2 linked regions of the Oryctolagus cuniculus genome follow. The protein of the gene in region 2 purifies or fractionates together with the protein of the main gene of each other region. This does not show direct contact. Links are inferred from orthologs where the notes say so. Each region holds a gene or a part of one and is shown on either strand. Other genes may lie near its edges.

Region 1 (4,227 bases), on a different chromosome or scaffold from region 2:
CACCCAAGCCCACGGGGCAGCCTGTGCAGAGGGGCGCAGTGGGTGGGGCCAGGTGGGGCCAGGACACGCCTTGTTTTACACCTCAGTGTTAGGGGAGGATGGATTTATATGGAAGGGAGAACACCAGAGAGAGGCAGACACCCACGCACCCACCCACCCCCACACCCCATCGGCTTCCATCTGCTGGTTCACTCCCCAAATGGCCACACAGCCTGGTCTGGGCCAAGCCAACACCGGGAGCCTGGAACTCCACCCGGTCTCCCACGGGAGCTGCGCCGGCTCCCAGCTGGGTGCCAGCGTTGCCTGCGGTGCTGCCCCTTCTCCCCCTGCTTCCGGCCTGCAGACCCCGCCTCCCCCGCGGGGCTCGGGCCTTGGGGCCGCGGGCTGAGACTTCTCGGCCGTCAGGAGCCTCCGTCTGCCCGCAAGCTCTGGGTTCAGTTTCTGGCACAGCAAATTCACTCAGCAACCTCTGGACACACAGTCTGTATTCTCTAGTGACGTGTGCGCCAGGGAGAGGAATAGCCCGGCTAAGGCACCTCCTGCGGCGCTGCATCCCACGTGGGCCCGGGTTCGAGCCCCGGCTGCTCCACTTCTGATTCAGCTCTCTGCTGTGGAAAGCAGAAGCCGGCCAAGTGCCAAGAGTCAGAGCTCACAGGCTCAGCCAGGGGGACCCCGCAGACTCCAGCCGGGCCACGGCTCAGGCCATGTGTCCTGGGGGCCGGCCAGTCGTGGGCCATTTGGCCGCCTGGACCCTTCAAGCCTGGATCCGGACTGTGGAGAGGCCCAGGCTGCTCAGCTCTGAGGACGGCCTCGGCCATGACAGGCGGTGTGGGCGGCCCCGCTGCTGTCAGTCCAGGAGCCCCAGGTGTGCCCGCCCCGCCCCCAGCACCGAATTCGGAATTCAGCCGGGTCAGGACAGGCAGCTGGCCATTAGCGGCCCGGGGGCGGGGTGTGAGGGGTCAGAACATGGACCCAGCGGCCGCGGGGTCGGGGGTCGGCACGGACCCGGCGGCCGCGGGGTCGGGGGCTGTCGCTGCTCTGGGTCTCCTGGCTCCCTCAGAAACGCCTCATTGGCCCGGGCTTGGCCAAGGGAAGCCCCCCGGGGCCGAGGAAGCGTCCCTGCCGCCGGGCTGAAGCCCAGGGCCAGCAGAGGGCCGGGGCGGTGCGGGGCCGGGGCGGGGGCCGCAGAGACAGGCGGGCGGCCGTGAGGGCCGGCACTGAGAGCCAGCCGTGCGCCTTCCGCCCGGGCCGGCGCTGGCGGCTACTCCACGAGAGTGGACGTCCGGCAGGGACACCGGGGCCCCCACGGCGCCCGTTGAGGGCACCGCGCGCCCCGCTCCTCAGAGCGCCGGCTGCGCGGGCCAGGGGCGGGGCCCGAGCGCAGGGGCGGGGCCTGGGGCCCGGAAGGGCGCGGCGGCCCCGCCCCCGCCGGCCGCGTGGCTGTGCGTCCCGGCTGTTGCCGATAAAGTTGTTTGAAGCCCGGCCGGCCGCGGGTCACGTGAGCGGAAGATGGCGGCCCCGGCAGGCGGCGGCGGCTCCGCGGTGTCGGTGCTGGCCCCGAACGGGCGGCGCCACACGGTGAAGGTGACGCCTAGCACCGTGCTACTGCAGGTGCGGCAGCCGGCCGGCGGGGCGGCCGGGCGGACGGGCGGACGGGCGAGCGAGCGGGTCCGCCGCGCCGGCCCGCCCCCCGCGGTTGGCTTCGGGCCTCGGGGCCGGGCCTCGGGCGAGCCCGTGGTGGGCGCGGCCTGAGGGGGCCAATGAGCGGGCTCTTGCCCGGGAGGCCCCGCCCACCTGGCTCGGCGGGCGCCGGGGTTTGCGCGGGGGTCGCAGGGGCGTGGCGCGCCGGCCCCACGTGCGCGGTCCCGGCGTCCCGGGCCGCTGGGGTGGCCGCGGTCCGTGCGCCCGGCGGGGGTTCTGCTGAGTCACTCGCTGCTCCGTGGCGGAGGTCGGGGCGCCGTGCGGCCGGAGCGGCACCCTGGCCCCGGTCTGGCCCCGTGGGCAGCGCTCGCGGGCACGCCCAGCGGGGATCCCAGGGTGGGAGGCAGGAAGCGTGGGCCGCGGAGCTGGCCGGCCCCGGGGCGCGCGGAGCGGGCCTCGTGGGAGGTCGGGGCGTGACGGGGCTTGGCCCTGGGCGGCCCCTGCACTGAGGTTCGCTTTGTCCTCTTCTCTAGGTCCTGGAGGACACGTGCCGGTGTCAGGACTTCAACCCCAATGAGTATGATCTGAAGTGAGTTTGGGGTTTGCCTTGGGCAGGGCGCCAGGCGTCCACGCCCCCTCCCTGGAGGAGCCGTGGGCGACTGGACCCCGCCCTGAGGTCCGCCTTTCCTCTGGCTTTGCCCCTGGCCGCAGGTCCTCCTGCGCTGTCCTCTCCTGCGGCCTTTTCCCACTCCGTGTTGCTCTCCTGCGTCTCGCGACACCTGTCGGGGTTCGAGACCCACCCGACCCACGGCGTGCAGCGTGGTCTCCGGTGGGGCCCTGGGAAATGAGAGGAAGCTCTGCCAGCCGTGGGCGGAGCCCTGTGGTCTCGCCCGTGGGCCCTCCGCAGAGGCTGTCCGGATTCCCGGTCTGAGCCCTCGTGGGGAGACGTGGGTTTCTCCCGCTCCCGCTGAGCCTTACACCTTAAAGACCCACCCCAAGGCATCACGTCCTGGCCTCGGGCCAGACTTGTCCCCGCCGTCCTGCTCCCCCAGCCTGTCGGGGGTGCCCAGGGAGAGGCTCTGCAGGGGACACTGCAGCCCAGAGCCCGCGGCGTGTGCTGTGCCACCTCTGGTCTCTGGATCTCGCGGTGCCAGGCCGCGCTGGCCTGGAGCCAGCAGCACTCACCGAGCTCGGCCGCGGGGCCCAGTGCCCGTGCTCTCGGGGTTCCTGGGCAGCAGCTGCGGTGTCCTGGACTCCGCACGCTGATGGCATTTCTAGTCGCCTTCTGGCCGTGGTGAGGGTTGGTGCTGGGTGTGCACCTGGGCCCTCAGCGGCGCAGCTCGGGAAGCCGGCAGGCGTCGGGTGGCTGCCGTGGCGTTTGCCGCATTCGGCTGTCACGGTCTCCCCCAGCTTCTTATTTTCCCATTTAGTACTTTTTTCCTTCTGTGGGTTCCCACACCCCAGAATTTCAGAGGTTGGAGCTAGTGGGGCTGGCATTCAGCCCGGGGCTGAGACACCAAGGCGCCGTGCCCGGCTCTGCGCCCGCGTCCTGCCCGCTCGCGCCCTGGGAGGCGGCGGTGGGGGCTGCAGTGGCCGGGTCCCTGCCCCCACGAGGGAGCCTGCGCCGAGGTCTCGGCCCAGCCCAGGTCTGGCCCAGCTCTGGTGTTTGGGAGCAAAGCGGCGGAGGGGGACGCTCTCTGTCCTTCCACCTCTGAAACAGAGAAAACAGCGCAGAGTTCAGTGTGACGCCAGAAACAGGAAACGGGTCTCGCCCTTCTGGGCGCTGTCTCTTTTTTCCCCAGATTTATTCATTTGTTTATTTGAGAGACAGAGAGACACAAAGAGACAGAGCTCCCATCCGCTGGTTCACTCCCCAGATGTCTTCAACAGCTGTGGCTGAGCCAGGCTGCACCCAGGAGCCAGGAGCGCCATCCGGGCCTCCCCGGCCAGCGGCAGGGGCCGGACGGGCAGCGGAGCATCCGGGGCCTGAGTGGCCCAAGGCTTCGCCTGCGGGACCACAGTGCTGCCCTGTCTGTGCACTCTGCTTGAACGGCAGGGACACAGAGGCAGAGTTTCCGTCCACAGGTTCCCTCCCCAGTGCCCGCAGCAGCCAGGGCTGGGCCAGGCCAAAGCTGGAGGCCCCGTCCTGGTCTCGGGCGCCGGGCGTGTGGGCCCCGATCCGGCCCCTGCTGCTCCCCAGGGGTGCCCACGAGTGCGGTTGGGACAAGCAGCAGGCACCCTGACACAGGACACGGTGTCCCCAGTGTCCCCCGCCGCGCCACCATCCTCCCTCCTGCCTTGGGTGCCTCCTCTCGTGTCCCTGGGAGGGCTCTGGGCCGGCCCCCCCTTTTCCCTTTTTTTTTATAAAGATTTATTTACTTATTTGAAAGAATTACACAGAGAGAGAAGGAGAGGCAGAGACAGAGAGAGGTCTTCCATCCGCTGGTTCACTCCCCAGTTGGCCGCAATGGCCGGAGCTGTGCTGATCCGAAGCCAGGAGCCAGGAGCTTCTTCCAGGTCTCCCACGCGGGTGCAGGGACCCAAGGACCTGGGCCATCTTCTGCTGCTTTCCCAGGCCACAGCAGA
Region 2 (4,109 bases):
GGGCCATGGTCCAGTGCTTTCCCAGGCCACAGCAGAGAGCTGGGTCGGAAGTGGAGCAGCCAGGACTCGAACTGGCGCCCAGCCCAGCACGCCTCGGCGCCGGCCCCCATGGTGCAGCTGCCTGAGCCAGCACCGGCTCTGTAGGGGCTCTGGTTCCAGTCCTGCTTCTCCCCAATGTGGCTCAAGACAGCCCCCGCCCCCTGCCTGGGGGGCCCGCGTGCGGTTCCTAGAGCCTGGCTTGGGCCTGGTGCAGCCCCTTACAACAAATAATTCTTTAAAAGGGTCCCTTTGACAGTGAAAATTGTGCCCCCTTGTGGCCGGTGCGGTGTGCCTAGCAGGTGTCCCGGCCGCTCCGCTCCCGATCCAGCTCCCTGCTGTGGCCTGGGAGAGCAGCGGACGATGGCCCAGGTCCTGGGGCCCTGCACCTGCGTGGGGGACCCGGATGGAGCTCCTGGCCCCCGGCTTCTGTTGCGACCATTCGGGGAGTGACCCAGCAGGTGGAAGACCTCTCCCATCCCTCCCGGCCTCCCTCCTAAACCTGCCGGGCTCCCCGATGCACACAATTCTGTCTTCCCCACGGTCCGACCCGGCAGCTTGCTCAGGGCGAATTCAACAGAGGCACCCGCCGCTCTCACACGGGCCCGCGGCCGCGCTGTCCCCACCAGGGTCCTCCGTGGCGGGGGTCTTTTATTCCCAGCACCGTTTTGTGGACAGGGAACCCTCGTTCGGGAAGGCGAGTTTGCCTTGACTCCGTCTGCGCCCGCGGGGGGCTCTCCCACCCCAGGGCCCCCCCCTCGACCCCCTGCTGACCCCCAGGCAAAGGTCCTGGGGCTGGGGGCGGCCCCTCGCCCCCTCCCCGCCTATCTCCCTCCAGGGCCTGCGCGCTCAGAGTTTTTTTTGGGGGGTGGGGGCTCCCCTTTGCCACTCGGTCGGTGCACACCCCGCTCCTCTCTGCCTTGCCGGCCCAAGCGGCCCCCAAGGCCCCATGGGGCTCGCGGGGCGCCGACTGTGGGCAAAGTGGGGCTGGGTCCCGGGGGACCTTGAATGGGGGCTTTATGACGTAAGCGCCCGGGAGCCAGGGGCGCCCCTGACCGCTTCTCCGCGCGGCCCAGCCGGCCCCACGGTCAGCTCCCCGGGGCCCAGGCCGGGGACTCCCAGCGCGGCGGCCCGCGGGGAAGCGCGCTCGTCGCCTTGGCAACGGAGGCCGGAAGAACCACCGAGACGCGGCTTCAGAATACAGAGCGGCCGCCTCCGAGGTACCCGGGTCGATTGTCACGTGGGCGGCCCGCGAAGGCGGGACTTCCGGCTCCGCGCTATTTTCTTTCCGGTTGTTAGCTTCTGTCAGCCCCTCCCTGCCTGGGCCGTGCGCCCCCCCCCCCGCGCCCGCCGCGGCCCCCCGCCGCCGGGCCCCCCGCCAAGATGAAGAAATTCTTCCAGGAGATCAAGGCAGACATCAAGTTCAAGAGCGCGGGGCCCGGGCAGAAACTCACAGACTCCGCGGGGTAGGGGACGGTGAACGGGGCAGGGGGCTGGGAACCGGGGAGCGGGGTGGGCGGCCTCTGGGGACCGGGGAGGGGGCGGCAGGTGCGGCCCGGGCTGGGAGGGGGCGGCCGGGCGCCGAGGGGCGCCCCTGGGGGCGGGGCCGATGCGGCTGACACTCCGGTGGGCGGGGCCGATGGGGCCGGGGAGACAGCTCGGGGGCGCACCCCCCGAGGGGCGGGGGAGGGGCGGGGCTTGGGAGGCGGGGGCGGGGCGTGGGAGGCGGGGACGACCGCGGGGCGGGGCGGGGGCGGGGCGTGGGGGCGGGGACGACCGCGGGGGCGGGGCGTGGGATGCTTGGACGACCACGGGGGTGGGGCGTGGGAGGCGGGGACGACCACGGGGGCGGGGCGTGGGAGGCGGGGGCGGGGGCGGGGAGTGCAGGGCGTGGGTTTCTGGAGAGTCTGGGGGCGGGTTGGGGACGACCGCGGGGGCGGGGCAGGGGCAGGGCGTGGGGGCGGGGACGACCGCGGGGGCGGGGCGTGGGAGGCGGGGCGTGGGGGCGGGGACGACCGCGGGGGTGGGGCGGGGACGACCGCGGGGGCGGGGTGGGGGCGGGGCGTGGGAGGCGGGGACGACCGCGGGGGCGGGGCGTGGGAGGTGGGGATGACCCAGGGGCGGGGCGTGGGGGCGGAGCAGGGCGTGGGGGCGGGGACGACCGCGGGGGCGGGGCGTGGGGGCGGGGATGACCGCGGGGGCGGGGCGTTTGAGGCGGGGGCGGGGCGTGCAGGGTGTGGGTTTCTGGAGAGTCTGGGGGCGGGTTGGGCGGTGGGGTAGTGGGGGCCACGTCCGCGTTTCCACGAGAGGAGGGGCCCGGGGGATGGGGAGGGCTGGCGGGAGGGGCTAGGGTCCGCCTAGGACAGATAGAGGCGGCGTACAGGGGAAGTAAGGGGGTGGGGGGGCCTTGAGCTGGCGTGGACCAGGGGCGTCTCCCTGCTGCCTCCAAGACCCCCGGCCTCATCCCACCCCGTGGGACTTTCTGGGCGGGAGACACAGGACGTGTGGGGGCTCTCCAGTGGGGACCGCGTGAGGAACAGGCAGGCGGTGTAGACAGGAGCAGCGGGGAGCCCAGTGTAGACGGGGGAGGCAGGCACCCCAAGTGGGCGGGCCTTCAAGGCCACGGGAAGGGCTGGCCAGGGCGTCGGGGAACTGAGTCTCTGGGGGAAGATGGAGCAGCCACAGGGCCAGGGGGCTTCCTCGGGGGTCCTCTTGGGCCAGCAGCCAGCCGGGGGGAGGCCTCGTCCAGGCCGCTGCCCACGGGCGGGGAGGGGTCGCCCAGGGGTCTGCCGGGGCCCACGGTGGAGAAGGAAGGCGAGCCCCCCAGATCCCAGCGGCTCGGAGCCGGGGCTTGGACGGGGGGCTCCCGGCCGGCCTGCTCAGCGCCTGTCCGCGCGGGGCTGTGTCCACGTGCCCCTGCGGCCGCCCCCCGGCCTGCTGGACTGGAAGCCGCCGGGTAGCAGGGGTCGTGGCTGGCATGTGGGCTTCCCAGAGCCGTGAAGGTTTGCAGGGAGATTTTAAGATTTATCTCTCATTTATTTGGAAGAGTCAGGGAGAGAGGGGCCGGTCCCTCTGCTGGCCCACCCCCAACGTGGTCAGCACGGCCAGGCTGGAGCCGGGAGCCTCAGGTGGGCCTCACAGGGGGCCCACGCACGTGGGCCGCTGCCGCTGCTTTCCCAGGCTGCTCTCTGGGGCCGGCGCTGTGGCGCAGCGGGTTAGAGCCCTGGCCTGCAGGGCCACATCCCATACGGGCCTTGGTTCGAGTCCCAGCTGCTCCACTTCCAATCCCGCTCCTTGCTGTGGCCTGGGAAAGCAGTGGATGACGGCCAAGTGCTGGGGCCCCTGCACCTGCGTGGGAGACCCGGATGCGGCTCCTGGCTCCTGGCTTTGGGTTGGCGCGGCTCCAGCCATTAATGGCCTTTTGGGGAGTGAACCAGAGGATGGAAGACCTCTCTCCCCAACTCTTTCAAATAAATAAACATTTTAAATATATTTTTTGCTGATTGGAAAAGCAGAGAGAGGAGGCTCCCACTTGCAGCCATGAGCCGGGGACTCAGCCCATGGGTGCGGGGGGGCCCTGCCTGAGCCGTCACCCCTGCCCCAGGGTGCTGGGACCCGGGCTCGCGGTGTGGGCGTCCCCAGGGTCTCGGGGCCGTGAGGAGGCGGCGACCTGAGCCCAGGGCTGCAGCCGGGGGGGGGGGGGCGGGGGAGGCCGCGGGGAGTGGTGTCCCCGGGGCCGGCAGGGCTGGGTCTGCGTGCCAGGGCAGGGGCGGGGCAGGAGCCTCCCCTCTGATCTCGCGCTGCCTCGGTCACTGCGCAGGGAGAAGGCCCCCAAAGAGAAACCCAGCCAGCTGGCTCTGAGGCCGCCCCGCCAGGGACCCACCGATGAGGCGCAGATGGCGGCCGCCGCCGCCCTGGCGCGGCTGGAGCAGAAGCAGCCCCGGGCCCGGGGCCCCACGTCGCAGGACTCCATCCGGAACCAGGGTGAGCCGCGGCCGTCCTCGGGCCGGGGCCGGGGCCCTGCTCTGGGTAGGGTTTCCCGACCAGCGCCTGCGAGCCTGCAAGGGAGGTGT

The links. Proteins that work in one complex are often made in the same cells at the same time.
Region 1: the proteins of UBXN6 (region 2) and ASPSCR1 purify together in Homo sapiens (affinity purification with mass spectrometry; 4 studies listed by BioGRID and IntAct, counting the BioPlex papers as one, with this or other methods). This does not show direct contact. The link is inferred for Oryctolagus cuniculus from reciprocal best matches to the Homo sapiens genes UBXN6 and ASPSCR1.

What each region holds. Positions count from the first base shown.
Region 1 is NC_091448.1:964,896-969,122, reverse strand, and holds the start of ASPSCR1 (tether containing UBX domain for GLUT4), read left to right. Parts: upstream 1-1,427; 5' UTR 1,428-1,509; coding exon 1,510-1,611; intron 1,612-1,824; exon of another isoform or gene 1,825-1,987; intron 1,988-2,174; coding exon 2,175-2,230; intron 2,231-4,227. UniProt on the Homo sapiens protein: Tethering protein that sequesters GLUT4-containing vesicles in the cytoplasm in the absence of insulin. Modulates the amount of GLUT4 that is available at the cell surface. Enhances VCP methylation catalyzed by VCPKMT.
Region 2 is NC_091447.1:59,807,306-59,811,414, reverse strand, and holds the start of UBXN6 (UBX domain-containing protein 6), read left to right. Parts: upstream 1-1,309; 5' UTR 1,310-1,419; coding exon 1,420-1,502; intron 1,503-3,856; coding exon 3,857-4,020; intron 4,021-4,109. UniProt on the Homo sapiens protein: May negatively regulate the ATPase activity of VCP, an ATP-driven segregase that associates with different cofactors to control a wide variety of cellular processes.